4 linked regions of the Anolis sagrei genome follow. The protein of the gene in region 4 purifies or fractionates together with the protein of the main gene of each other region. This does not show direct contact. Links are inferred from orthologs where the notes say so. Each region holds a gene or a part of one and is shown on either strand. Other genes may lie near its edges.

The links.
Region 1: the proteins of RAN (region 4) and NCBP1 purify together in Homo sapiens (co-immunoprecipitation; 3 studies listed by BioGRID and IntAct, with this or other methods). This does not show direct contact. The link is inferred for Anolis sagrei from reciprocal best matches to the Homo sapiens genes RAN and NCBP1.
Region 2: the proteins of RAN (region 4) and IPO9 purify together in Homo sapiens (affinity purification with mass spectrometry; 3 studies listed by BioGRID and IntAct, with this or other methods). This does not show direct contact. The link is inferred for Anolis sagrei from reciprocal best matches to the Homo sapiens genes RAN and IPO9.
Region 3: the proteins of RAN (region 4) and NUP214 purify together in Homo sapiens (affinity purification with mass spectrometry; 3 studies listed by BioGRID and IntAct, counting the BioPlex papers as one, with this or other methods). This does not show direct contact. The link is inferred for Anolis sagrei from reciprocal best matches to the Homo sapiens genes RAN and NUP214.

Annotation. Positions count from the first base shown.
Region 1 is NC_090022.1:150,976,568-150,983,955, forward strand, and holds the start of NCBP1 (nuclear cap-binding protein subunit 1), read right to left. Parts: upstream 3,022-7,388; 5' UTR 2,790-3,021; coding exon 2,756-2,789; intron 1-2,755. Other genes in the region: TSTD2 (thiosulfate sulfurtransferase/rhodanese-like domain-containing protein 2), read left to right, coding at 7,267-7,388. UniProt on the Homo sapiens protein: Component of the cap-binding complex (CBC), which binds cotranscriptionally to the 5'-cap of pre-mRNAs and is involved in various processes such as pre-mRNA splicing, translation regulation, nonsense-mediated mRNA decay, RNA-mediated gene silencing (RNAi) by microRNAs (miRNAs) and mRNA export.
Region 2 is NC_090024.1:206,524,199-206,531,317, forward strand, and holds the start of IPO9 (importin-9), read left to right. Parts: upstream 1-4,106; 5' UTR 4,107-4,224; coding exon 4,225-4,372; intron 4,373-7,119. UniProt on the Homo sapiens protein: Nuclear transport receptor that mediates nuclear import of proteins, such as histones, proteasome and actin. Serves as receptor for nuclear localization signals (NLS) in cargo substrates.
Region 3 is NC_090031.1:17,129,632-17,137,571, forward strand, and holds the start of NUP214 (nuclear pore complex protein Nup214), read left to right. Parts: upstream 1-4,928; 5' UTR 4,929-5,001; coding exon 5,002-5,043; intron 5,044-7,940. Other genes in the region: AIF1L (allograft inflammatory factor 1-like), read left to right, coding at 1,846-1,936. UniProt on the Homo sapiens protein: Part of the nuclear pore complex. Has a critical role in nucleocytoplasmic transport.
Region 4 is NC_090034.1:37,904,097-37,911,573, reverse strand, and holds the start of RAN (GTP-binding nuclear protein Ran), read left to right. Parts: upstream 1-4,470; 5' UTR 4,471-4,595; intron 4,596-4,931; exon of another isoform or gene 4,932-5,089; intron 5,090-5,319; 5' UTR 5,320-5,326; coding exon 5,327-5,365; intron 5,366-7,477. UniProt on the Homo sapiens protein: GTPase involved in nucleocytoplasmic transport, participating both to the import and the export from the nucleus of proteins and RNAs. Switches between a cytoplasmic GDP- and a nuclear GTP-bound state by nucleotide exchange and GTP hydrolysis.

The sequences.
Region 1 (7,388 bases), on a different chromosome or scaffold from region 4:
AGACCCTTGATCGTTTTAGTCACCCTCCTCTGAAAACATTCCAGCTTGTTAATATCTCCCTTCAATTGCAGTGCCCAGAATTGTCACAATACTCCAGGTGTGGTCTGAACAAGGCAGAATAGAGGGGTAGCATGACTTCCCTGGACCTAGACACTATACTCCTATTTATGCAGGCTAAGATCTCATTGGCTTTTTTAGCTGCCACATCACACTGTTGGCTCATGTTTAACTTATTGTTCACCAGGACTCCAAGATCTTTTTCATATGTACTGTTGTCGAGCCAGGTGTCCCCCATGTTGTATCTTTGCATTTCATTTTTTCTGCCTAAATGGAGTATCTTGCATATGTCCCTGTTGAACTTCATTTTGCTAGTTTTGGCCCATCTCTCTAACCTGTTCAGATCGTTTTGAATTCTGCTCCTGTCTTCTGGAGTAATGGCTAGCTATCCCTCCCAATTTGGTGTCACCTGCAAACGTCACGATCATGACTTCTGACCCTTCATCTAAGTCATTAATAAAGATGTTGAACAGGCCTGGGACCAGGACGGGATCTTGCTTATGGCATTCCTCTCGTCACTTCTTTCCAAGATGAAGAGGAAGCAGTGGAGAGAGCCTTCTCCTCTGTGGTTCCTCGACTCTGGAACTCATTGCCCAGTGAGCTTAGGCAAGCACCCACCTTAGCAACCTTCAAGAAGAATCTCAAAACCTGGCTTTTCCGTTGTGCTTTTGGAGAGTAACCATACAACTACACACTGTTGCTCCCACTCAATGTTTGTGCCTATAGCACACTTCCCCCTGTCTATTTGAAGGCCTGTTTTTACAACTTCTCCCTCACAAATAATCTGCTCCACTCCTATCTCATGCTGAGCTTTTAGTATTTTATCTGTAAATGTGGCCTGCTCATTGTCACTGTGATTGCGAATGATTTTTCATTGTATTTTATATTGTTTATTGTATTCTTATGTTTTATTAAGCTTATTGTGTTGTCTGTTATGTGCTTTGTTTTTATTTTATTGTAATGCACTGTTGGGCCTGGCCTCATGTAAGCCGCCCCAAATCCCCGTTGGGAAGATGGTGGCAGGGTATAAAAAAAGATTATTATTATTATTATTATTATTGGTGAGCACCCTCTGGATTCTTTCACCTAACCAATTACAGATCCACCTAACTGTAGTTTTGCCTAGCCCACATTTAACTAGTCTGTTTGCCAGAGGGTTATATTGGACCTTGTCGAAGGCCTTACTGAAATCCAGGTACGCTACACCAATAGTGTTCCCTGTGTCTATCCAGCTTTATTTATTTATTTATTTATTGCACTTCTACCCCGCCCTTCTCAACCCCCCGAGGGGGGACTCAGGGCGGCTTACAAAAGGCACAATTCGATGCCGGCACAACAAGGTAAAAATAAACATATGTAAACAGTAATTAAAACAGTCCATTATACATCACACATCAAAATCACACATTAAGATCGTCCGGGGAGGCCCTGCTCTGGTCCCGCCTGCGTCACAGGCACGGTTGGCGGGGACGAGGGACAGGGCCTTCTCGGTGGTGGCCCCTCGGCTATGGAATGCCCTACCTATAGACATCAGACAGGCTCCTTCGTTGCTGGCGTTTCGGAAGAAGGTTAAGACTTGGCTTTACGAGCAAGCGTTTGGCTAAACAGTGCAACTGAACACAGGAAGACGGTAAAATTGAACATAGAAATGGCACAAGGATTATGAGAATGGATTTTGCTCTGTTATCGAGGCGTCATGAATTGATAATAATTGTTGATTTTGTTGTTGTGTATGATGTGTTTTTAACTGTTTATTGTTGTGATAACCTGCATTGTGTAAACCGCATTGAGTCGCCTAATTAGGCTGAAAAACGCGGTATAGAAATAAAGCAAATAAATAAATAAATAAATCTATAAAACCAATCTAATGCTCAACGTTTGCCAACTCAGAGTTCATAAATTCAATTCCACACTGTCAAGTCCATCAGTTGTCGTCACTAGTCCTTTGTCTGCTGCCAGATTACCCAAAGGCCTGGTCCCAAATCCATGTTTTTAATTTCCTTCTAAATGAGGGGAGGGATGTTGGTGACCTAATTTCCCTGGGGAGCGAATTCCACAGGTGAGGAGCCACCACTGAGAAGGCCCTGCTCCTCGTCCCCACCAACCTCAGCTTGTAACTCTATTGAAAAAAGAGATCAGATTAGTCTGGCATGACGTGTTTTAGATAAATCTGTGTTGACTATTAGAAATAACTGCATTCCTTGCCAAGTGTTTACAAGTGCAGTATCTTGCTGTACTACTGCTACTACTACTACATGCTGGCATACGTTCTTGCACGCTTCTTGTTCACAACAACTCCAAGTCACTGTGAGAAGTACTGAGAGGTTGGACACAACTGAAGTTCCCATTTCCAAAACGCGTTTGAACTAATTTCTCGTGAAATAAACGGGTCAAAGGTCCTACAGGCCAGGCTTTTTCTTCAGAAAGATGCCCATGGAGAACGACAATACTGGCCCCCCAGACCAGACACACTTCCCAACCTTTGGTCTCCCAGGGGCTAAGTTGGGACTTCAACTCCCGGGATTCCTCTCGGTTGGCGAAGACGGCTGGGGCTTCTGGGAGTTGAAGTCCCCCCATACCTGAAAGGTTGGGAGCCCCTATCGAAGAAAGGCAGCTTCCTCAGGCCATGAGGGCCAGGCCTCCCTCTCTCCCACTCCCACCCCCTTCTCCTCCTTTCTCCTCCCTCGCTCCCGCTCACCGTCGTTATCGTCGCTGTGCCGCCTGCGCGACATGGTCCTTCTTCCTCAACGGCCGGGGAGAGAGAGAGAGGAGGGAAAGAGGCCGGCAGCCAGGCAGACAGACAGACAGACAGAGAAGAGGTCCAGGGCGCATGCGCAACTGACACTTCTCGCGCGCTCGCCGGAGGAGGAGGCCTTCGACGCTTCGAAAAAAAAACGCCCACTGAAAGCCGTGTGCGAGGAACTGCGCGCGCGCCTGCCTGCTCCCCTTCCGGCCCGCGCGCACGCTTCTTCCGGTCCCTTCTGGCCCCGCGCTGCTCTCTCCGGCTACGACAAGTGCGCATGCGTACAAAGGGAAGCTTTTCCGGAGCAAAAGAAAGGGGAAAAAAAAGAACAGAGGACGATCAAGGGATCGTCGACAAATTAATGCCCTCGTGTGGAAACGAATAGAACTTGTGGAAGGAGGGTGAAGGGAAAGAGATTTGGTGGGGCGCCAAGGCTTCTGAGTTTGTTTTGTTGTTGTTTATGGTTCTCAAACTGGCAACAACTGTTCTTTGGAAGTCAGCAGTGCGTTTCTTCATGGCAGTCACCACTACAATCCTTTTGATTCCCCCTGAAAGGAACCCAAATCCTGCAAAGAAGCTATTGAGACCTTTTTTGGGGAGGGAGGGTGGAGATGTGGAATATAAATATTAAATCGATGCATCTTTATTTATTTGTATACTTATTTCTAAAAATTGGGACCAAAAAACGCTCGTGCAAGAAAGTACGCCTTCCACGTGCAAGTACATCTTCCACGTGCAAGTACGCTTCCATGTGCAAATACGCCTTCCACGTACAAATACGTCTTCCATGTGCAAGTACGCCTTCCACGTACAAATACGTCTTTCATGTGCAAGTACGTCTTCCACGTGAAAGTATGCCTTCCATGTGCAAGTACGCCTTCCACGTACAAATACGTCTTTCATGTGCAAGTACGTCTTCCACGTGCAAGTACGCCTTCCATGTGCAAATACGCCTTCCACGTACAAATACATCTTCCACGTGCAAGTACGCCTTCCATGTGCAACTACATCTTTCATGTGCAAGTACACCTTCCCTTTGCAAGTACGCCTTCCACATATAAATACGCCTTTCATGTGCAAGTATGTCTTCCACGTGCAAGTACATCTTCCACGTGCAAGTATACGTTCCATGTGCAAGTATGTTTTCCACATGCAAGTAATCTTCCAGTGGTTCCCAACATGTGGTCCGTGGACCACCAGTGGTCCAGAAGAATGAAAATATGGTCCACAGCATCACCATTACTACACAGTTGCCTCGAAACCACACAGCAGTGTGGTCTTGCAAAACTGGTCTTGCAAAACCCTCTTATAGTGCTGAGGCAACTGAGCTGTCAGGAGGGGAGAGGCTGACTACCCGCAAAGCATTACCACTACCACATCAGCTCTATTAAATACGGTTTTCTGAAGCTGAGCTGATGGTGACTACTGGATAGCGTATGTTCTGTATCAGAAACGAGAGCTGATGAGGTCTAGCCAATGCAATTTTCTCTTATCAGCACTTCAAATAACCAAACCGAATCTAAAATTGAGCAAAAACTGATTCATAACCTCTTTGGTACTAATGTTGGAGAGTGGTCCCTGGTCAAAGTAGCCCCTGGCCAAAAAAAGGTTGGGAACCACTGATTTGAAAGAACAAATTTAAGAATATAATTTTTAAAAACTCTGAAAAAATTATTCTGACTTGGGTTATGAGGCCGACCCATATGTTATATAGGCTCGGAACTTTTAGGGGTGAGGCCCCCTTTGTCTCCTGGCAACCAATATTTTTAGACCCAACCCACCACTGCCTACACTAGAATGAGTACGGTTTGGCCTGGTGGTGCAATGGTTTAAACCCTTGTGCCTGCAGGACTGAGGACCGAAAGGTTGGCAGTTCAAATCTGGAGAGTAGGGTGAGCTCACGTCTGTCAGCCCCAGCTTCCCATGCGGGGACATGAGAAAAGCCTCCCACAGGATGGTAAAACTGGGCGTCCCAGGGGCAACGTCCTTGTAGACAGCCAATTCTCACACCAGAAGTTACTGTCCTTGCAGACGGCCAATTCTCTCACACCAGAAGTGACTTGCAGTTTCTCAAGTCACTCCTGACATGAAAAAAGGCACCACTTGAACTGCCTTAGCTCAATGCTATGCAGCATTGGGGAGTTGTAGTATGTACAAAGCAAAAGACATTGTACATCTACAGCTCCCTTGATTCCATAGCATTGAGCCAGAGCAGTTCAAGTGGGGTCAACCCGCACTCATTCTACAGTGTAGCCGAGGCACCCTTTTCGGTCCATTGGTTCTCTCTGAATTGCCAGCAGTCCCTCCAGGGAAGGCTTCCAGGGAGGAGCCTTGCAAGAGAGACAGAGAGCAAGACATGCTTTCTCTTTGCAGAGAGTGCCAGCACATTCAGCTGCCAGGCCAGGAAGAAGAGGAGGAGGAGGAGGAGGAGGAGGAGGGGAAGTCAGTGCTGGGGACAGAGGGTGGCTGCAGGCGGAGAAAGCCCATCCAGGTAAAAGGAAACAGAGCAGCAGCCAAAGAAAGGCTGCGTTTTGCAGGGACTGAGCCATGCCTGCCCTTTCTATCCCTTTGTGGGTCCTAGAAGAGGCCTGGCTCTGGGGGTGGGACACGGCTGCCGCCATGGGGCTGCTTGCTGCTTTTCCATCCCATCTGCCTTCTAGCAATGGCCCTCCCCTCCTAGTGTTCCTCCCCACAATGACCCTGCGAGGCAGGAGAGGCTGAAAGAGAGGCTGGTCAGCCAAGAGTGCCAAGGCCCGGGAAGCAATTCAGTTCCGCATGCCTACACCAGCTTCCTCTGCACTGTAGAAGCATCCTTTAACTGCCCTGGCTCAGTGCTGTGGAATCCATGGGGTTTGCAATTTTGCAAGGGCTACCACTTCCCTGCCAAAGAACTCTGGGGCCTTACCGCACCAGGACTGTGGCACAGCGGCGGGGAGTCAGCAGCATTAAGATCACTACTGACCGAAAGGTCATGAGTTCGAAGCCAGCTTGCTGTCAACCTTTGCAGCCCAAAAGACAATTGCATCTGTCAAGTAGGAAATTTAGATACTGCGTATGCGGGGGGGGGGGGGGGGGTAATTTAATAATTTACGACACCATAAAAATCTCCAGCAAGCCTGCAAAGAATGAGGAAACACTCCATCAGTGTCACAAATGGACAGTGAAGCGATAGCTCCCCTGGTGGCCAGAATACCCTCATCAAAAAAAAAGCTGGAATGTTAATAAATATAAGCTGACAGACAATCAGAGGCTAATTAACTTTCCAGCTTTCATGAGAGTATTCTGGCCACCAGGGGAGCTGTCGCTTCACCATCCATTTTTGACACTGATTGAGTACTTCCTAATTCTTTTTTGCTTACTTGCTGGAGATTTTATGGCATCGTAAATTAGTTAAATTAGCCTCCCCGCATAAGCGGTACTTAAATTTTGTACTTGACAGATGCAACTGTCTTTCTGGCTGCAAAGGTTGATAGCAAGCTACACAGAAGTCGGAAGCTTACTCCGATCTGGGCTGGCTTTGAACTCATGACCTTTTTACAGAGTAATGATTTTGAGTCTTTGTCTCTTGGTAGCTTTGTGATTGAGATGTGATTTTAAACAAGGCCGCTAAGAAAGTGTTATACTAACCATAGTGATGCAGGGCTGGATAAAATGTTAATGTGATTATGATTAATTCATATACTCTCCTAAATGAGATTTCCTCAGATGCATGCCCTGGTAATCACACTTGCAAATTATGTCTGTGTTTACTTTCTAATGACCAGTCACAAAATGAAACACACTACCTTCAAAGAAACACACTAACTTAAAACCTTGACATCTTTCCCAATGGGAGGAACACCTCTGCAAATCTATATAAATAAAAATGTAGTGTTTGTTTGTGGGATTAACATAACTCAAAAACCACTGGATGAATTGACCCCAGATTTGGACACAATACACGTATCAGACCAACAAGTGACAATCACTCATAAAACACTGAAAAACACAGCGGAAGGGCTTACAAAGCAAAAAAAAAAAAAAACAAAAAAAAACCAACAACCCCAAAAATACATTACAATGCATGTGCAAAATCACACACACATACACAAACACACATATACACAAATATATACACATATATACACAAAAATCACATATACACAGACTAGATCACAGCAAGCCGTGGCAGAGGACGGCTAGTAAATGATAAATCCATATTGATTAGATTGAATTTTAGCTTATTAGTCATCCAAATTGGCATTATCTATAGGTGAAAGTAAATAGGTTTTGGTTTTTGGACTGCAGTTCCCATTTTCCCACTCCACATTCTCTGGTGGGGTTTGTGGGCACAAAGAATCTGGAGGGTCGCAGTCAAAGTCATGCCTGCTTTAATCCTTCATTTCTGTAGCACTTTCACACATGCTCTTCGCCTTATATAAACCCACCTTTTGGAATTATCTTTCTTAGGTCACAGAGAAAATTGTATGCCCAGCTGCTGTGAGATAGCGATGACCTCCTCTTTGTGCAACAGAGAAGATGCTGCAGAGCTTTGCATTTTAACACTCGCAGAACTCGATCTGAAAGAGCAAGCTCCTTTCTCACCCAA
Region 2 (7,119 bases), on a different chromosome or scaffold from region 4:
GTGATGCATGGCAGTATTTCATTTGTTCCTGATGTTTTCTAGCAAGATGGGCCAAGAACCACAATGATGTAAGGCTAGGATTGCAGGCTACTAGCTATTCCTTTGATGCCTTCCAGCTCCTCTAGAAGATCCCTTATCTATATAAATAAAAATGTAATGTTCATTTGTGGGATTAACATAACTCAAAAACCACTAGACAGATTGACATCAAATTTGGACACAATACACCTATCAGGCCAACGAGTGACCATAACTCATAAAAACACTGAAAAACACAGCAGAAGGGACTTAAAAAGCAAAAAAACCCCACCCAAAATACTTTACAACGCATGCGCAAAACCACATATATACACAAACACACATATACACAAATATATACACACACATATACGCATATATACACACACACAGCACATATACACAGACTGGGCCACAGCAATGCGTGGCAGGAGATGGCTAGTCTTTACATAAAGAGGCAAGAGGAGGAGAAGATGAAGCAGCAGGCCATTCTCAGGACACCCTTGTAGAACAGAAGATGGTGGTAGTGATATGCAAAGGTGATAGGAGTGGGAAGAGAAATGTGGTGATAGCAGCACTTGCAAAAAGAGAAGCTGGAAGCTGAATTCTTCCTTTCAGGGACTGACGCTAACCCAATTTTAAGGACTCCTTGGAGTCAAGGTATTTTGGAAGAGGTAACTAGGAAAATTGCTAAGGCTCAGTGATTTTTTTCAAGCTCATAACTACATTCTATGGAATCTATGAATCTAGAGTGGCATGACAGGTCTCTGGCACAGATTTCCAAATCCCAGCATAAAAAGGAAGAAAGGAGGGAGAGAAAAGAAAAGAAATGTGGCAGCATATTTAGGACTAACTATGAGCTTTCATGGATATAAAAGCATTTTTCAGATGTAGCATAATGATATAAAGAACTCAAGTAGAAAGCATATTTATACAGTTGTGAAATGAGATAAAATGCAATAGGACCTAGAAAATCCCAATATTTTCCTTTGCCCCTTATGTCACAGGGCTTGACAAGGTGACACAGGTTTTTCTGATCTTAGTGATTTATAGTGGTCAGCTAGTGTTAGTGTGACAGTAATACCTCTCCTTACCAAAAGTTTGTTTCCCTGGGCTCAAAATCATCTCTTGAGACAATTTCTAGATATGTAGTACTGAGAAATCTTGTATTAATATATGTAATGTGCCATGAAGCCATTGTACTTCTTAATACCTCTTCTAAAGAATTTGAATTTGAATTTGTGAATATGGTCTATAGCAATTAATAGCATTCAGAACACCCTATCTATTGTTTACTGCTAACCAGTCTAACACAACTGCTTAGACCCACAAAATAGGGAATCTACAGCCCATTATGAATTTATCCTTTTCACAAGCTCTGGGAGACTGGCATTTATTGCCTTTCAATCTCAAAATTGTAAGCAGCTACTGTACTCACCACAGGATACATACTATGGATGGTAATACAGGAGGAACAAGACCCTGCCACAAACCTAGATGCCAACTTTGTCTCCACGTCTACTCGGGGAGCAACATTACAGGGTCCAGTAACATCATTCACAACAAAAACAACAATGCATGTGCAAAACCACATATATACACAAACACACATATATTCACATATTCACAAATACACACACATATATACAAACACAAATACACAGACTGGGCCACAGCAACGTGTGGCAGAGGACAGCTAGTATAGAATATACAGTTTTCTGATTCAAATTTCCCGTGCCCGCCAGGCCGCTCCCCGGATTCAAACCTGCAACCTTTTGGTTAGCAATTTCAGCAGTTCAGTGGTTTAACCCACTGCACCACTGGGGGCTCCTAATTGTATTATTATTATTATTATTATTATTATTATTATTATTATTGTGGGATCACAAGCCGGAAAAAGTTACAGAGAATGAACACGCCAAACTCCTCTTGGACTTCCAAATTCAGACAGAGTTTTGGAGCATAATATTCCTGACCTCACAGTCGTGTTAAAAAACAAAGTATGGATCATCGATGTCGCAATCCCAGGGGACAGCAGGATTGAAGAGAAACAACTGGAAAAGCTGACACAATATGAGGATTTAAAGATCAAACTGCAAAAACTCTGGCACAAGCCAGTCAAGGTGGTCCCAGTGGTGATCCGCACACTGGGTGCAGTGCCTAAAGACCTTGGCCTGCACTTAAACACAATCGGTGCTGACAAAATTATCATCTGCCAGCTGCAGAAGGCCACTTTACTGGGATCTGCACGCATTATTCGCTGACACATAACATAGTCCTAGGCACTTGGGAAGTGTCCGACGTGTGATCCAATACAATAGTCTGCTGTGGACTCATCTTATGTTTCAAATAATAATAATAGTAATAATAATAATAATAATAACACAGTCCTAGACGCTTGGGAAGTGTTCAACTTGTGATTTTGTGATACGGAATCCAGCATATAGATCTCGTATGCTGTGACATACTGTGCTTTTATGCCAGTAAAATAATATTAATGTGCATACTGTTTATTATGTACATAATAGTGCCTAGTGATATTCCAGATAAACACATAATTGAACTATTCGTCCCGATGGATTTCACCAATGAAGGAATATATACAGAATATTGAGACTCGAGATGTGCAAGAATGGATGCATTCTCATTATTATCAAAACTGTCCCATTCTTTTAAGACGCAAGAATGGGAGAGCGAAATGGAAAAAGAAAATGAAGGAAGACTGCCTTTTCTAGATGTCCTAGTCATCCGCAAACCAGATCAACAATTGGGTCACACCGTTTACAGAAAACCCACACACACAGATAGATATCTCTACATAAAAACTCCAACCATCACCCAAGTCAAAAAAGAAGCACCATTAAAGCCTTGGCAGACCGTGCAAAAAGAATCTGCGAACCCCACCTCCTCCAAGATGAACTGAACCCCCTCAACTGGGCTCTCCAGGCCAATGGATACTCCACCTCAGACATCAGAAGAGCTGCAAGACCAAGAACAAGCCATGAGAAAAAAGATGAAGATCCACCCAGAGAAAAAGTGTTATTGGGAACCACTGACCGCATAAGGAAGCTGATGAGGAAACACAACATACAAACTATCTACAGACCCACCAAGAAAATCCAACAAATGCTACGTTCAGCAAAGGACAAGAGGGATCCTCTCACCTCTGCAGGAGTCTACCGTGTACCATGCAGCTGTGAACAAGTTTACATAGGGACCACCAAACGCAGCGCCCAGACACGAATCAAGGAACATGAAAGGCACTGCAGATTATTTCAACCAGAGAATTCAGCCATAGCAGAGCACCTGATGAACCAACCTGGACACAGCATTTTATTTGAGAACACAGAAATGCTGGACCACTCCAACAACCACCATGTCAGACTACACAGAGAAGCCATTGAAATACACAAGCATGTGGACAATTTCAACAGAAAGGAGAAAACCATGAAAATGAACAAAATCTGGCTACCAATATTAAAAAAAACTCTAAAATTGCAACAGCACAACAACAGGAAGGAAGCAGGCAGGGACATCTAATTACCTCTCAACAAAAGTTTGCCCCAGGCGCAGTCAGGCCATTGAATGTTAATCAAGGTGGTCAGTTGAAACATTCACACCTAGCTCCAGCAGAGAAGAGCCCTTTGTCTCACCCTGGTCATTCCACAGATATATAAACCCTTTTGCCTAGTCCCAACAGACCTCACTACCTCTGAGGATGCTTGCCAAAGTGCAGGCGAAACGTCAGGAGAGAATGCCTCTAGACCAGTGGTTCTCAACCTGGGGTCCCCAGATGTTTTTGGCCTACAACTCCCAGAAATCCTAACAGCTAGTAAACTAGCTACGATTTCTGGGAGTTGTAGCCCAAAAACATCTGGGGACCCCAGGTAGAGAACCACTGCTCTAGACCATGGCTTACAGCCCGAAAAAACCTACAACAAACCAGAGCGAAAGGCGCTGCCCTGCTTGCAGTTCCTCCGCCGACCGCGGGGGTCGCTGTGGGAGAAGCGCGCCTGTCGGGAGCCTGGGCAGGGGAAGCGCTGTGCGTGCGTGCGTGCGAGCGAGCGGCGTCGTCGCGCGGCTGCGTTTGGCGCGCGGTGGCGGCATCCGCAGCAGCAGCAGCAGCAGCAGCGTCCGCGGCCCTTTTCTCTCCCCTCAGTCCTTCCTCCTTCCTTCCTTCCGGGAAGTCTCTTTCTTCCTGCCGGGATGTCGGTGGTGGGGCCCGGAGGCCTGGGGCCTGTGGCTCAGGGGCTGAAGGAGGCGCTGGTGGAGACTCTGAATGGCATCCTGTGCCCGGTGCAGGGGGTGCGCGCCGCAGCCGAGGAGCAAGTGAAGGTGCTGGAAGTGACAGAAGGTAAGAGGGAGCGAGCGAGTGAGGGGCCTGGGCCTCCTCTGGGTGCATCCACACGGTAGATTTAGCGCGGGTTGGCACCACTTGAACTGGCAGGGCTCAATGCTATGGAATCCTGGGGTTTGTAGTTTGATGAGGCGCCGCATGGCATGGCGCCTCATCAAACTACAAACCCCAGGATTCCATAGCATTGAGCCCTGCCAGTTCAAGTGGTGCCAACCCGCGCTAAATCTACCGTGTGGATGCACCTATAGTGAACCTGAAATAGGCCAGTGATGCTGATGACAGTGTGTGAACATCATCATACTTATTTCTTACCTTCCTCTCTCCAAGAACAGACTATAAGCCTGAGGGCAGGGCATGGGTTCATTATTCATTCCCTCACAAAGTATCATGTACAGCAATGGTGCTGTTTAAATACATGATGATAATAATAATAATAATGTATGTACAGACTTAGTTTGTGCTTCACTATACAGTCAACCCTCCTCATTTCTTGTTCAGACTTTTGCGGATTTGATTTAAAATGCCATTTAGGAGTTTCTTCCTCCAGTCCTGTTGACAGGACCTAGAGATTTCTAGAGTAAACACCTCTCTGGGGATAGAGGCCCTGCGATGCAGTTCTGAAGTTAGTTTCAACTGGAATTTGATCATAAATTCAACCAGGCCTTTCCTCCAACACACTCTGGAGCTGAGAGTTCCACTGCTGACTGTGGGAGCTGTTCAGCAGTGGAACTCTCTGCCTCAGAGTGTGGTGGAGGCTCCTTCTTTGGAAGCTTTTAAACAGAGGCTGGATAACCATCTGTTGGCGGTGCTTTGAACACAATTTTCCTGCTTCTTGGCAGGGGGTTGGACTGGATGGCCCATGAGGTCTCTTCCAACTGTATGATTCTATCAACAATAGGCAACTGTATATTGTGGGAATGCTGCTTTAGACCAGCAGTATTTTAACACGGTCTATTTATTATTTACCTCATTTCTACCCCGCCTTTTTCGACCCAAGAAGGGACACAAGGCAGCTTTCATATCTGGCAAAAATTTAATGCTGCACAGGTAAACAATAAAACACATCTCATAAAAATATAACACATCTCATAAAAATAAAGCATCATTCTCAACCTGTGGGTCCCTAAGTATTTTGGCCTACAACTCTCAGAAATCCCAGTCAGTTTACCAGCTGTTAGGATTTCTGGGAGTTGAAGGCCAAAACATCTGGAGACCCATAGGTTGAGCACCACTGACCTAAAGAAAAATTGAGTTTTTAGGAGCCTAACGTAACTGTTTTAATGGATAATCTTAATGGCCTGAGGTTCAGGAAAAATTTTTAATGGTATAATGTTTTGATTTATTAATTTGTTAAATTTGTTTTGTGTAGTGTGTATTTTTGTTTACTATGCTGTATTTTATGTTATGTAATTTTGTTGCTTTTAACTATTGTACTCCGCTTTGAATCACACCCATGGGAGAAAAGCAGGATAATAATAATAATTCTGGAAAACCAAAATTCCTATAGATAATAGTAATAACTTATTATTTGTATCCCACTTTTCTCCCACAAAGGGACCCTTAGTGGCTTACAACATGTTAAAAGCAATACAAGTCCAAAACTATCAGCATATATAACACATAAAACCATCTATAAAATAAAACATAAATAAGCATTTAGAACCAAATACATTTCTGTAAAGTCTCCAAATATGTATTCCAGACACATTATGGAATCCTGGGTTTTTTAGATGTTTACTTGTTTTAACAACTGCAATTTTTTTTAATCTGCAGTTCTCCTGTGTCCCTGACCCCTGCAAAAGGGGAGAGCTTACTCCATATGGAACCAAAAATCTTCTTAGTATCACCATTAGTTATGGTGTGTGTTATCCTGTGAAAATTCTATAGTAGATTTCCCCCATCAAAGTGCATGTATGTATGTATATATATATATATAGGGAGGGAAAGAGAGGAATGGTTCTGTTTGAAGGTTTTGAAATAGCAGATTTTAATTAGCAAATGCAATTTCAGTCTTTTCCTCTTCTTGGTCCAAAGCATTTATTATAAATGACCAATGAGGAGAGAGCAGAAACTTCTTGAAATAGCAAGCAGCATTGTGTGGGTGGTCAGGATTGCTGCTGGGCCGTCATGATGCAAAAATGTCATAAATGCAGGTGGAGCTGCATTTTTAAAAGACAAAGCCACAGCCATTATCAGAAGCAGGTCATGGCCAATTTAGTACTTTTGTGATACTGTGATTTGTTTCAAAAGTTTGCCCCAATATTTCTTTCTGCATATACTTTGCTTCTGAAAATGACACACAGATCTTGCGTTTTATAGTTTTATGCTGTTAGTTCAAGGAAATCTTTTTTCAGGCCATCAGTTTAATACATCTTGCAGTTGATACAACCTCTCAGTCTAATCTAATGCAACATAATTGAAGATACCTGTAGAATGCAAAGGTGGATGTTATTGTTGAGTTGGGGGGGGGGGGGGAGAGGCAGAAGAGGTAATCTTACCAGTTATATGAACCCATAACAGGGAAAAACATTATTTACCTAATTTTGAAAATGCCCATATGTATTATAAAAGAATGAAGTAGTTGCTTGTTTTCAGTTTTATTTTATTGTAATTTTCTGTTTGGGCTTGGCGTCGTGTAAGCTGCTCCAAGTCCCCATTGGAGAGATAGTGGTGGAATATAAATAAAGTTGTTGTTGTTATTATTATTGTTATTATTATTATTATTATTGACGCCTCTGTAAGAT
Region 3 (7,940 bases), on a different chromosome or scaffold from region 4:
TTGGCACAAGCACTCAATATGTCCAAATATGTGTTTGCAGGAAATAGACCTTGACATTTGGGAATTGTAGTCACTGGGATTCACAGTTCACCTACAGTCAAAGAACATTCTGAACCCCACGAACAACAGAATTGGGGCAAACGTCCCACACAGAACACCCATAACCAACAGAAAATACTTTAGGCCATCCACTCCAACTCCCTTCATCAGGGCAAGAAAACGTAATCAAAGCTCTCCCAACAAAGAGCCATCCAGCCATAGATATAGATAGATAGATAGATAGATAGATAGATAGATAGATAGATAGATAGATAGATAGATAAATGGATGATAGATAGATAGGGCGTTGTAGTTGCTGGGATTTATAGTTCACCTACAATCAAATAGCATGATAGAATTGAACCAACCAGGGCATACAGGACTTCCATGACCAACAGAAAACACTAGAAGGGTTTGGTGAGCATTGACCTTGAGTTTGGGAGTTGTAGTTCACCTGCATCCAGAGACTACCATGGACTCAAACAATGATGGATCTGGACCAAACTTGGCACGAATATTCCATATGCCCAAATATGAAGATAGATGGAGTTTGGGTGAAGTACACCTTGACATTTTGGAGTTGTAGTTACTGGGATTTATAGTTCACCTATAATCAAAGAGTGATCTGAATCCCACCAACGACAGAATTGGGCCAAACTTCCCACACAGAACTCCCATGACCAACAGAAAACACTCAAGGCCATCCAGTCCAACTCCCTTCACCAGGGCAAGAAAATGTAATCAAAGCCCTCCTGACAGAGCCATCCAGCTATAGATATAGATATAAAGGATTCACACACACACAAATATAGTATCATAGATTTGAAAGGGACCCCTGAAGAAGGACAATTATATGTTGTATATGTAGGCAAATCAGACACTCTCCACATCAACACTGACAAAGAAATAGCAAGAAATACTGTTTACCCACAAGTATATTAGAAACCAACACTTTCTCATTACTTTATTTTCCAGATCAACAGACTGGGCCACAGCAACGCGTGGCAGGGGACAGCTAGTGTGTGTGTGTGTTTATATATATATATATATATATATATATATATATATAGTAGAGTGCATGAATAAAAGAACTCCCAGCAATCGTCCAGATAGATAGATAGATTAGATAGAGATAGGTACGTAGGTAGATAGATAGATCAAGAGGACTGCTGGGAGTTGCAGTCCAAGAGAAGGAAAAAAGGGGAGAAAGCAAAAGGGAAAGAAAAGGGGGGAAGGAAGGGAAGAAGAAGAAGAGAAGGAAGGAAGGAGAGAAAGAGGAGAAGAGAAAGAGGAAGGTTGGCCACTGCAATGCGTGGCAGGTACATCTAATGTATATATATAGTATATAGTATATAATATATAATATATTATATGTTATATATTATATATAATATATTATATATAATATATTATATATTATATATTTGCACTGTCTAATTATGAACATGAGTTCTATACAGATATAGTTTTCCCTCGTTACTTCACGGTTCGCTTTTTGCGGACTCGCTGTTTCGCGGGTTTTTGCCTCCCAGTTTATGAATGGTTGCCGTTGCCGTTCTAATCCTGCCTCCTGGCAACGATGGAGTGTGGAAGGGGGTGTCACCCCCCCCCCTCAGGAGAGAAACAGCCAATCAAGAGAAATTGCAAAGCAAAGCAGAGATAACTAGCAAAAAAAAAGGTGTATTCATATATAGCATTCCTACTTTGCGGATTTTCACGTTTTGTGGGTAGTCCTGGAACGTAACACCCGCGATAAGTGAGGGAACACTGTATATAACTGGATGGCCGTTTGTTGTCTCCTTGCAGGGTCATGATGTTTGAAGACAAGGCCGGTGAAGGCGCTGCCCCGAAGGCCCCCGGCCCCCCTCCGAAGAGGGACATCTCTACCCTGCCGTGAACCCCCTTCCTTTGGGAAAAAGACCCCCACTTGACCCCAGACCCTTTTAGGAAGCCTGCCCTCCCTTACTAACTCTCTGCTTTAGCAAAGGAAGAAGGATCGAGAAGGGAAATTCCTGGGACCCTGGCCGGAGGGACCTCTTAGAAGTAGCCGTTTTAAATATATGCATATATATATATATATATATATATATATATGTATGTATATCATATAAATATCATATAAACATATATTATACACATATCTATCTATTTAAGCACTGTCTGTATAGCCGGCCGTGTCTCTGGAATGGGCCTGGGTTCTCTTTGCAAACAAAATGTCATCCTTTTATAAATCATTAATGACTTTAAATAATTATAATCTATATCTTCTAAATCTATATCTAGGATGGTTTTAAATGAGGTATTTTAATATTTGATAAATTGTTTTTTAATGTTTATGTATTCTATTTGAATTTGTGTCCCGGCATTGAATGTTTGCTGTATATATGCTGTGCTCCGCCCTGAGTCCCCTTCGGGGTGAGAAGGGCAGAATAGAAATGTTTTAAATAAATAAATAAATAAATAAATAAATAAATAAAGAGAATGTTTGTATGTATGTGTGTATGTATGTGGCAGCTTTCTGATTGTCTGCCACTGTGGCGTGCACGAGCGACGGACCTGGACCAAACTTGGCACACATGGGATGATGGGACTTGAAGTACCTTCACTCCCTTCCTGAGACTACTGCTTCAATGACTGATCAAGTCGTCAGGCAAGCATACATTGAATACAAAACAAAGCCTTTTTATACATATACAGAGCTGTCAGATTTGAATCTCCCGCTCCCCGCCCCTCAGCCGGCTCGGCGCTGATTGGTTGGTGCTCTACAGCTGGGAGGAGGCTTGGTCGCCTCCGGAGTGCCTTAACCAATGGGTGAGCTCATGCCGTTTCGGCCTCCTGGCCAATCAGGAGAGAGGGAGGCGGGACGAGAGGGAAACAATGAGAACTTGAGTGGATTATGGAAATATGTGATGTCCATGTGGCTGGTGAGTCCTCAGGGGCCTTCCAGCTGACCAGCTATTGTGATGAGGAGTTGGTAATCAACATTGATGTCTGGCGAGGTGGCCAGAATCCGGATTTTTCTTGAGCAGGGATATGGGGACAATGGAACAATCTTATCTGCAGTTTCGGTTGAGGGAAGATAACTGAGTAAACAGATCAGGACAAATTGTGGCTTTCTGAAGGCCCTTGATAACTTATGCCAAGTGGGCACATCTCCTCAAGCAGTCGGACTCCGAGACCCAAGATCAGTGCCCATTATGCTATAGAGCAGGAATTTAGGTGTCTTTGCCAGGAGGCAGAGACCAATCAGGCTCCTTAAAGAGTTTGTTACCCTGGCGAGACAGAGAGAAGCACCCAATCCCTGATTTTTCCCAATAAAAGGTCTCACCAAGTTGAAGGAAGTGCCACCGAGGTTTATTAGCGATTCAGCTGAAAAGGATGCAGAGCAGCAATAATTCGCCAAGCAGAGCATGTGGTTACAGAAGTAAAGGCCATTTTTATAGAAAATACAGAGTTGTGAGTTTCAAAATTCCTGCTCCCCCCTCCCGCCCAGCTCGAAGGGGATTGGCTGACGCGCAAACAGCTGGGAGGAGGCCTGGCCATCCCCCATGCATCAGGGCCAATCACAGGGCTTTTGCGGGGCACCAGAGCCTATCAGGAGGCTCCTGCTGCCTCGACGCTCCAGCGAATCAGAAGGGAGGGAGGCGGGATGAAGGGAGACAATGCATTCTGGAGTGGATTATGGAGTTTTAATGTCCTTAGGCTTATCGAGTCTGGGGATCGGCCTTCCAGAGAAGCCACTTTATTGTCCTGAAATGGGTCTGTGATAAGCATTGATGGCTTAATCCGGTTTTTCCTCTTACAATCAGATAGGGCACAAAGGGGAAACTTTTGTGAGTGTCCTTAGTGGAAAGATTTGAAAGAAAAATGGCTTGGAGGAAAAGAGGACTTTCCTAAGGTCATATTTCCCCCCATTGTTATATGATTAAAAAGTCTGCCAGACAGGAACCCTTAAGATGGCCCAACTCCGAAGTCAAAAGGATTTCCTTTACTATTGTCCATGCAAAGAATGTCCAAAGAGAAGGGTCTTTTCATGATCGCAGGTTGCTTTTCCAGAGGCAGGGCAGATTCCTTGTAGATTTCCCCCAAGGAGAGGGGAAGGGGGCAAAAGGGTCAGGGCAAGGTCAAATACATGAAGGGAAATATAGAAATACAGGAGAAGATATGAAAATATAGAAATCATAACACAAGGAGTAAACCCAACTACCTTCCCCCAGTGTCCATAGTTCATATTATTCATAGGAAGGTCCATAAAAGGAAATATATCCATGAGGAGGAAAGAGAGTCCCTTGTTCATGAGATGGGGGACCATCAGGAGCCCAGGTGTGCCTCAGATGGAAAAATTCAAATATTTTTGTGGCATGATTTTCGGTAGTTTCTGCTGTAAACATATGAAAATAGGGCATCCCACCCAGAACTTGCCACAATTTATGATGATCCACACAGTCAAAGGCTTTAGAATAGTCAATGAAGCAGAAATAGATGTTTTTCTGAAACTCCCTGCCTTTCTCCATTATCCAGCATCCGGATATTGGCAATCTGGTCTCTCGTTCCTCTGCCTTTTCTAAACCCAGCTTGAACATCTGGCAACTCTCGCTCCATGTATTGCTGGAGTCTTCCTTGCAGGATCTTGAGCATTATCTTGATACCTTGCTATCTCTAGGGTCCCACATAAAACAAAAAAAAAATGGCCTAAGGGAACCAGAAGTCGATGTTGCAGTGAGGTGTCTATAGATTTCTAACTCTTTGGTCTCCTGAGCGGGCGGGTCCGAGGAAAACGCCACGATCCGCCTCCATTTCGGCTTCTCTAGGCTTCGAAAGCGGCTTTCTCTATGGGAAAGGTAAGAGAGAGGCGGGTATGGGCCTAGAGCGCCACCGGAACCGGAAGCTTCGTCCTGGTTTCCTTTTTCCGGCCGAGGAGGTGAGGTGAGGTGAGGCGGCGACGCGGAAAGAAGGAGAGGGATGGGCGACGACATGGACGTGATTCCCGAGAGGGAAATGAAGGTGAGGCGGAGGGGAAGCGAGGCGGAAGGGCTTCCTGGGGAGAAACTTGCTTTCGCCTCAGTCGACGGGGAAGAAGAAGGGCTGGAACTGTCGCTTGCCTGTTTCCAAGACTTCGAGGCTGGATTATTATTATTATTATTATTATTATTATTATTATTATTATTATTATGTATCATTCTATATTGAGTAAACATACCAGAAATATATTATTGTATCTTTCATGCAATACTTCATAGTTATGTTATTATACATTACTATTATTATAAATTATTTGAAACACAACAAGATGAGTCATAGAATCCTAGAGTTGGAAGAGACCTCCTGGGCCATCCAGTCAACCCCATTCTGCCAAGAAGCGGGAAAATTGCATTCAAAGCACCCCTGACAGATGGCCATCCAGCCTCTGTTTAAAAGCTTCCAAAGAAGGAGCCTCCACCACACTCTGGGGCAGAGAGTTCCACTGCTGAATGGCTCTCATAGCCAGGAAGTTCTTCCTAATGTTCAGATGGAATCTCCTTTCTTGTAGTTTGAAGCCATTGTTCCGCGTCCTAGTCTCCAGGGAAGCAGAAAACAAGCTTGCTCCCTCCTCCCTAGGACTTCCTCTCACGTATTTATACATGGCTATCATATCTCCTCTCGGCCTTCTCTTCTTCAGGCTAAATATGCCCAGCTCCTTAAGCCACTCCTCATAGGGCTTGTTCTCCAGACCCTTGATCATTTTAGTCACCCTCCTCTGGACACATTCCAGCTTGTCAATATCTCTCTTGAATTGTGGTGCCCAGAATTGGACACAATATTCCAGGTGTGGTCTAATCAAAGCAGAATAGAGCATGGGGAGCATGACTTCCCTAGATCTAGACACTATGCTCCTATTGATGCAGGCCAAAATCCCATATTGGCAGAGATAGCATGCAAAAAAAAGTGTGTGGTGTCTTTACATCTCTCCACGCTTCTCCCTCACCCTAAGAACGCAATATACATCTATTTATTTTTTTTGCCGTGTCAAGAATGACTCCTGGTGTGAGAGAATTGGCCGTCTGCAAGGACGTTGCCCAGGGGACGCCTGGATGATTTGATGTTTTTATCATCCTTGTGGGAGGCTTCTCTCATGTCCCCGCATGAGGAGCTGGAGCTGATAGAGGGAACTCATCCGCCTCTCCCCGGATTTGAACCTGCGACCTTCAGTCCTGCCGGCATAAGGGTTTAACTCACTGCGCCACTGGGGGCTCCATATACATCTATGATTTCCCTAGATCTAGAGATTATGCTCCTATTGATGCAGGGCAGAATCCCATTGGCTTTTTTTGCCGCCACATCACATTGTTGGCTCATGTTTAACTTGTTGTCCACGAGGACTCCAAGATCAAGTCCACAGCAAACGAGGTCACTCTGCTGGCTGTTGTATTGGATCACACGTCGGACACTTCCCAAGTGTCTAAGACTGTGTGATGTATCGGCTAATAATGCGTGCAGATCCAAGTAGGGTGGCCTTCTGCAGCTGGCAGATAGTAATTTTGTCAGCGCTGATTGTGTTTAAGTGCAGGCCAAGGTCTTTAGGCACTGCACCCAGTGTGCCAATCGCCACTGGGACCACCTTTACTGGCTTGTGATGTTGAGAGCTGTGCTGGTGATAGTATAAACTACCAGCAGGTTCAGCCAAGCCAGAGTGGTCTCCACTGAGAAGTAGAACTAAGTACACCCAAACCATTTAAATATGGTGAAACAAATTGTAAAGAAGTTTATACTGGCTCGGTCATCACCCAGGATAATAAGGACCACAGCAAGTGCTTCTCCTGGGCACCCATCGACAAGTGGGCTGCAGGAACCAGGACCCACTTCTGAGCAATCAGGGCGTGGGCCTGAAGGGCTACTGGAACCACCTTTACTGGCTTGTGCCAGAGTCTTTACAGTTCAATCTTTAAATCTTCACATTGTGTCCCACCAGATCTTTGTCGCAGGCAGATGGTATTTCTGGTACAAATTCCAATGAATCATCTCAGCAACAGTGTTGTGCCTCTGCTTGTAGTCTGTCTGCGCGATCTTCTTACAACAACTGCGAATGTGATCTGTTGTTTCATCTGCTTCCTTGCAGAGTCTACATTTGAGATCTCTTGTTGACTTTTCAATTCTGGCTTTGATGGCATTGGTTCTAATGGCTGCCAGAATCAGGCCATCCTTTGTCTCCTTTTTCAGAGTTCCATTCGTGAGCCTCAGCCATGTTTTTTCCTTGTCAATTTGGCTCTCAGTGTTTCCCAGGAACTGTCCATGGAGAGCCTTCTTTGACCAGTTTTCTCTTCTGCTCTGAATTGTGTTTTTATGGTATTCTCTCTTTGTCTTTTGCACTTGTTGACTTCACTATTGACTTCCCTCAATGTTGGTTCTTGACTGCCTTTCACATAATCTGCCAGTGCGTGTTTCTCTTCTTCTACCGTATGTTTCACTTGCAGAAGCCCTCTCTCAAGCTCCTGATTTTCTGGGCAGGTCAAGTCTGTTGACATCACTACACGGGTGTAATGAGGAGTGGATTGTCATCAGTTTTCTTGTTTTTCTATCCAGATCGCCCAGCTCTGCTTGTGTAGTTCACAATCCCAGCAGTGTATCTAATGATGGGGATGGCCCAGGTGTTGAGAGCCTTGATCGTATTTCCGCCATTTAATTTGCTCTTCAAAACCTTTCTGACTCTTTGGATATATTATTTGCTGACCACCTTTTTCACTTGCCCATTCTTGATATTGTCCAGCTGTAGTATGCCCAGATATTTATAGGCTTCAGGCTGATTGTACTTTATGGTTTGTCCATTTGACATCTCTATGCCCTCGCTGTGAGTAATTTTCCCTTTCTTTACTGCCGCTGTGGCACATTTGTCAAGGCTGAGTTCCATACTAATGTCAGTGCTG
Region 4 (7,477 bases):
TCACCCATTGTCTTTGCACCCTTGGCTGAAACCAACACACAGATAGCATCAATTGATCCCATATCCAGGACAAAAGATTATCAAGGCTTGGCAGCCGCGCCAACCATTTTTGTATATTTCACCCCCACGGGACAATACCAGGCCAGCTTGAGGAATATCCGGATTATCGCTGGCCATCGGACAAACCATTAAGTTACATTTAATCCACTAATTTTTTTTCCTCTCGGTTCTTTGTTTCCTGCTTGTACTGCCTCCTCAATTCCCATTGGCTCAGAAGCCAAAGCAGCGCTGGCTTCCCTATTGGCCAAGGCACGCCTGAGCCGGCCGCGCCTCCCTCCAGCTGATGACTCCAACCAATCGGCGTGAAGCCAGCAAGGGGCACGGGAAGTTTGAATTTGACAGTTCTGTATTTCCTATAAATTGTACAGATCCTGGGATATTGGGCCTGTCTGGACTCTAAGGCCTCTTCCACACAGCCCTATTTCCCAGAATATCAAGGCAGAAAATCTCACATTATCTGAGTGTGGACTCAGATAACCCAGATCAAATCAGATATTGTGGGATTTTCTGCCTTGATATTCTGAGATATAGAGCTGTGTGGAAGGGCCCTAAGGCACCTAGATCCCTTTTGGATACACTCAAGGCAAGGAAATAGTGGTAAGGTAGCAAAAATGCTAACATTTCACAATGAAAAAGCCAGAACTCAATACTAATTCCACTTGATTTTTCTCCCCAAAAGAGAAGTGTGCACTTCCATGTAGCAGCAGATATACTAACTAGGGATTTTAATTGCAACTCAGGATTGATAGGATGTTAGTCATGAATCACCTTACTAACCAGAATGAGTTCAGATCAGCAGGGCCAGATGAACTGCATCCCAGGGCACTGAAGGAGCTTTCAATTTTACAATTTAATTGCTGAGGGCAAATACTAATTGTAGAATTGATGCCCACATAATGTGTTGATGACCATCAATTTATGTGGCTCTGAAAGGGACATTGGATAGCTTTCTTGGAGAATAATGCTCTCAACGAATGTGTATTAGTCAAGATGGCTGGCTATATGCTGCCTCCAAACAAAAGTACTTTAAGCCACGCAGCTTCTAGCTTTGTTGGTCAGAAGGCATCCTGCAGCTATTTTATCTTCCTTTTTTTCATAGACATTTGTTGTTGTAAATAAAAAGATGGAAAAAACCAGTGGAAAGCACAGGAAAATTACAAATAGAAATGTTGTTACTCCTCCCTGGTCCCCAAACCTCAGAGAATACAATACAAATCTTGTACAGAAGCAAAATACACCACTTACTAGAGAACAGCAGGAGAAAACCAAACAATTGCTCTCATAGCCTGCAGAATGGAGAACGTTTGAAATGGGCTTCTTTCTCTTTGCTAAAGTTTTTATTTCATATGAACTGTTTAAGTTGCATTTTCAATTGAAGACTTTACACTGAATTAAACCGAATGAATAGTCGTCACTGAAAAATGTGAAAAAGCTACTTCTTGGACCACAACACTCACATTCTTAAGAGATTCTGGAAATGGTTGACCTAAAAAGTAATTTTTCCAAAGTGTAGTATGTTTTACAAATTGAAGCTATGCAGTCAAAAGGCAACTTTGCTTATATCAGTGGAGCTTATGCTGAGGTAAGGACTGTAGTCATGCTGATCCTACAAAATCCATTCCTCTGCTAGCACTGGTGCCCTTGTGTTCTCTGTCTATGTAAATGCATACAGTGGGAAGACCAATCGCTAGGACCTGCTGTAAGTGTGCTTCCCCCGCTACACACACAAACACACTCCCTCGCCAGGAATAATGCCTAGAAACAACTGACCATCACATACCAATTACACATTTGTCTCATCAGAAGACTAAACTCACAAATCCTTTGTGAACTAAAAGTATTGTGATTTTTGTGTGTGTCAGGAACAACTTGAGAAACAGCAAGTCATGTCTGGTGTGAGAAAAATGGCTGTCTGCAAGGATGTTGCCCAGTGAACGCTTGGATGTTTTTCCATCCTGTGGGAGGCTTTTCTCATGTCCCCACATGGGAAGCTGGAGCTGACAGGAGCTCACCCCACTCCCTAGATTCGAATCGCCTACCTTTTGGTCAGCAGTCCTGCTGACACAAGGATTTAACTCATTGCACCACTGGGGGGCTCCTATTATGAAATAATAAATGGGTATAAATTATATAACTTGTATATCTAAGCACAAATAGCACAACAAAGAAGTGTTACAGCAGGTTGAGAGTTTGGAAGGGGCTGTAGTCAATAAATTCCTCAGGCAACTCATGCTAGCGGTCATGAAAATCCAAGCAAGTACAGGCAGTCCCCAAGTTACGAACAAGATTGTTTCTGTAGGTTTGTTCGTAAGTTAAATTTGTATGTAAATAGGAACAGGGACATTTCTTGAGTGTAACTCCAACCAAATATATAAGGTTTTTTTGGGTCACACTTCAGGGTCAATATTCCTGTGGCGTTTTGCTGCCTATGCCCCTGTTTAGAATAAAGTGTTCCCACACTTTCTATCCCTGTGATAATTGGATTTTGAGAAATGTGGCTTGTTGTAGAAACAACAACTGGGGATAAAGCTTCAGTAGAGACTCGATTTTCCAGGAGTGGATTTCCCTTCCTTGGGATAGATATCTCTCCCTTCCTGTTGTCTCGGGGCCCTTCCAGTCATAACCCAGAATATCAAGGCAGAAAATCCAACAATATCTGCTTTGAACTGGGTTATCTGAGTCCACACTGCCATATATTCAAATTAAAAGCAGATAATATGGGATTTTATTCAGCTGTGTGGAAGGAGTCTCAGCCCTATTTTTAATTAGGAGTTGTTTGTAAGCCGGATGTTTGTAACTCGGGGATTAACTGCAGTTCATTATATAGCAGACACTCGGGCTGGATCTATACTGCCACAGCAACTCAGTTTCTGAATCCAAATGATCTGCTTTGAACTGGATTCTACAAGGGCCCTTCCACACAGCCATATAATCTAGGACAGTGGTTCTCGACCTGTGGGTCCCCAGATGTTTTGGCCTTCAACTCCCAGAAATCCTAACAGCTGGTAAACTGGCTGGGATTTCTGGGAGTTGTAGGCCAAAACATCTGGAGACCCACAGGTTGAGAACCACTGATCTAGAATACCTGGTAGTCCACCAGATCTGCTTTGAACCGAGTTATTTGAGGGTCCTTTCACACAGCCCTGTATACCAGAATATCAAGGCAGAAAATCCCACAATATCTGCTTTGAACTGGGTTATCTGAGTCCACACTCAGATGTGGGATTTTCTGCCTTGGTATTCTGGGGGCCTTTCCACACAGCCCTATATCCCTGAATATCAAGGCAGAAAATCCCACATTACCTGAGTGTGGACTCTTGATAACCCAGTTCAAAGCAGGTAATGTGGGATTTTCTGCCTTAATATTCTGGGCTATAGGACCCCCAGAATCTCAAGGCAGGAAATCCCACAAAATCTGCTTTGAAGTGGGTTATCTGAGTCCACACTGCCATATATCCCAGTTCAAAGGAGATAATGTATTTTATTCAGCTGTGTGGAAGGGACCCCAGGGCCCTTCCACACAGCCCTATATCCCAGAATATCTAAGGCAAAAAATCCCACCACTGAATAAAATCCCATATTATCCGTTTTGAACTGGAATATATGGCAGTGTGGACTCTGATAACCCACTTCAAAACAGATATTGTGGGATTTTCTGCCTTGATATTCTGGGATATAGGGCTATGTGGAAGGGCCTGGGTTAGTCGTATCCACACTGCCATATATTCCAATTCAAAGCAGATATGGTAGGATTTTGGCGTGGAAGGAGCCTGAGAGCTCTTCCACAGCCATATAACCCAGGATAGCAAGGCACGAAATCCCACAATATCTGCTTTGAACTGGATTGTCTGAGTCCACACTGCCAAATAACCCAGTTCACAGCAGATATTTTGGATTTCCTGCCTTGAGATTCTGAGTTAAATGACTGGTTGGAAACGGCTTGAGTCTTCACGGCCACCAGAGAGAAAGGACGGGGGAGAGCGGCCCTTTCTTCCACCCAGGCGGAGAGCGCCTCCTTGCCTTCGGCTGGACTGCCTGCCTGCCTGCCTGTGGCCCCGTCCACACAGCAGGAGAAAATCCCCCAATCTCTGCTTTGAAGTGGGCTATGTGGCAGTGTGGACTCCAATAACCCAGTTCAAAGCAGATACTGTGGGATTCCCTGCCTTGATATTCTGGGTGAGATGGCCGAGTGGAAAAGCCCTGCGAGCGAGCGAGCGAGTGAGCGCGGCGAGAAAGAGGCGCGAAGAGCCGGGCTCTCCCTCTCCTCCTCCTCCGCCTTCCGAGGCAGCCACGTGACACGGAGCCCGCCCCTCCCCCCGCCCTGTTTGCCCGTTTGTGAGCGCGCGCGGGCCTCTGTGACGTCAGGCCTGCGTGGCCCCCGCGCGCACGCCCCGCCCCCTTTCCCCCTTCTTTTTTACGGCTATTTGAACCCTCGCGCTTCCGCCATCTTCCTCAGCCGTCCGCCCAGCTCGCGGAGGGAGACAAGAGAGAGAGCCAAGAGCGAGCGGAGTGAGAAAGAAAACCGCCCCGGGAAGGTAACTCTGGGGCAGGAGAGGCGGGAGGCCGAGGGGGAGCGAGCCGGGGAGGCCCTCGCAGGCTGCGGAGGCGCCTCAGGGCAGCGCTAGGCGGGCAGGCGAGCGGGAGAGGCGCCGGCTGAGGCCCGCCAGGAGGGTGCGTGTCTCGCTCTGGAGATTCCCGCGCGGCGGTGGCCGTTGGGGCGGCGGTTGGCGGGGGAGGGAGGGGGAGGGGCGGCCGCGCCTCAGTCTCGGTCCCCCGCGGGAAGTGCCCGCCAGGAGGAGGCGGATCTCCGCGGAGAAGCAGTCAGGCACCGGGCGGATCCCACCTGAGGGATCTGCCGGCAAACAACGTACGTGGGTGGTACTTCTCCGTCTCCCTCAGAGAGAGCTCTGCCCCAAGGCCGTCTCTTGCCTCGTTTCTGAGGCGATCACAATGGCTCGCCTTGTCCCTCCGGCGTATTGTTTGCAAGCGCTGCCTTACGCCCCTCGATTGTGCTGAGCCATTCCGGGCCCGGGGGGAGGGGGGGGGAAGAAGAGAGGCGAGGCCAGGCTAGGCGAGGCTTGTTTGGGGGGGGGGCGCCATTGGCCGCTCCGGCTGCCACTTCCTGCCTCGCGCCCCGGATGCAGAGGCCGCCACGCGCCTTTTGGGGAGCTCGGGCGAATAGGGCCTTCCTCACCGATCACGCCTCTTGCCTTCCTTCCTTCCTTCTTCCCTCCCTCCCTCGCTCCTCTTCCTCTCCAGACGCAGCATGGCCGCCCCGCAAGGAGAACCCCAAGTCCAGTTTAAGGTAAGCAGCCTCTGAGCCCTCTTTCCCCCAATAGATTCTTTACTAAAAAGAAAAGCAGTTTCCCCACCCCACAACTTTTTCCCCTGTTTGGTGGGGCGGGAGGATCCCTGTGGCGCGTGGCTTCCTTTGTTCGCCTAGGAATCCGCAGGAACCCCACGCGCACAGTTTGACATCTAATTTGTAACTCCCTTCCACACAGCTGTATAAAATCCACATTGAGTTGGATTATCTGATGTTTATTTATGTCCCACTTTTTCTCTCCATACTGAGGGTCCTTCCACACAGCCCTATATCCCAGAATATCAGGGCAGAAAATCCTATAATATCTTCTTTGAACTGGGTTATCTGAGTCCACACTCCGATACTATGGGATTTTCCGCCTTGGTATTCTGGGATTTAGGGCTGTGTGGAAGGACCCCCAGTTCAAAGCAAATATTGTGGAATTTTCTGCCTTGATCTTCTTCTGGGCTATAGGGCTATGTGGAAGGGGCTCTCAAAGCGGCTCACAACTAAAAGCACTGCAGCACAACTTCAAATATACAAGTATTAAAACCAGTATAAAACATCATTAACCACATACAAAATCACAGCAGTCCCCCCCCCCCCTTGATGATCTTTACAAACCTTTAAAAGCCTACCTGAATGAAAATGTTGGATTTTGCTATCTGAAGGACAGCAGGGAGGATGGGGCCATTCTAGTTTTCCCAGGGCAGAGAGTTCCAGAGTCTACTGCGGCAGTTTGGACTCACATAACCAAGTTCCAAGTGGATATTGTGGGTTATCAGCCTTGATAGTCTGGGGGCTCTTTCACATAGCTCTTTATCTCAGAATACCAAGGCAGAAAATCCTACAGTATCGGAGTGTGGACTCAGATAACCCAGTTCAAAGCAGATATTGTGGATTTTCTGCCTTGATCTTGATTATAGGGTTGTGTGGAAGGGCCCTGGGTTATATGGCTGTGTGGAAGAGCCCTAAATGTGTTAAGGATCCGAAGAATTTAACTTTTAGGTAACCGAAGGCAACATTGTGCTTTTGGACTTCATGGCTGTCTGGTTTGATTTTTATTGGTAGTGTGATATATATTTGTAACCCACTATGTTCTCTTCCACACAGCTGAATAAAATCCCACATTATTGGCTTTGAACTGTATTATATGGCAGTGTGGATTCATAATCCAGTTCAAAGCAGATATTGTGGAATTTTCTGCCTTGATATACATCACCATCATTTAATAACTTATTAATCACCCTCCATCCGAGAATGCTCCAGGCGATTTACAGCTAAATTACAAAAGATAAAATACATACATACAAAAATTAAAAATCAGCAGAGATCGAATGCTCTAGTAAAAAGCCAGGTCTTAAGTGTGAGAGTAAAAGGCCCTAAGTCACGCATGGCTCTCATGTAGGGCGGCATATTCTGGGTTATATTCTGGGTTATATGGCTGTGTGGAAGGGCCCTAAGCAACATGGTTTTTGTTCCTGGGCTATAAATGTCATTTCCTAATTGGTTCTATCATAAAAGCATGGGCAAAGTGCATTGAACTTCAAAATCGTTTTGGCGGGACATCCTGCTATAGCACATTTTGCTATAGTCTTTTAATGACTAGCCTATAGTCTTGGCTGATTCAGCCTAGCTTATGGCAGCCACAAAAATGACTTTCTGGAGTAGAACAACTGCTTTCAAAGTAAGGACCGCACAACTAATACGGGAAATAACACTTTCAAACCAGAAACAGAAAATGTTTCAAATTTTGTTACATTGTGTTATTTCAAACAATGAGATGGTGATTTTAAATTACAAGTTTATTAGTTTACATTATTTGTAACGTTTTTGTCCTGTTTTTCCTCCATTGAGCTGAATGTGCCACATATATGGCAGCCCTTTCTCCCCCTATTATATCCAAATATTATGTTACTCAACTCAAATTAAAGGTGTATTGAGGTTTGAAAGTAGTGGGCTTACAAACCTACCATGCTGACACTGTGAAGTTCAGTTTCATCTGAAAAGCCATTGAGTATAACTTCAAAACCCTTAGAATGAAATATAAAGAAAACTAGCAAAAAAGCTTTACAGGCAGTCTCTGAGTTACAAACATCCGACTTACAAATG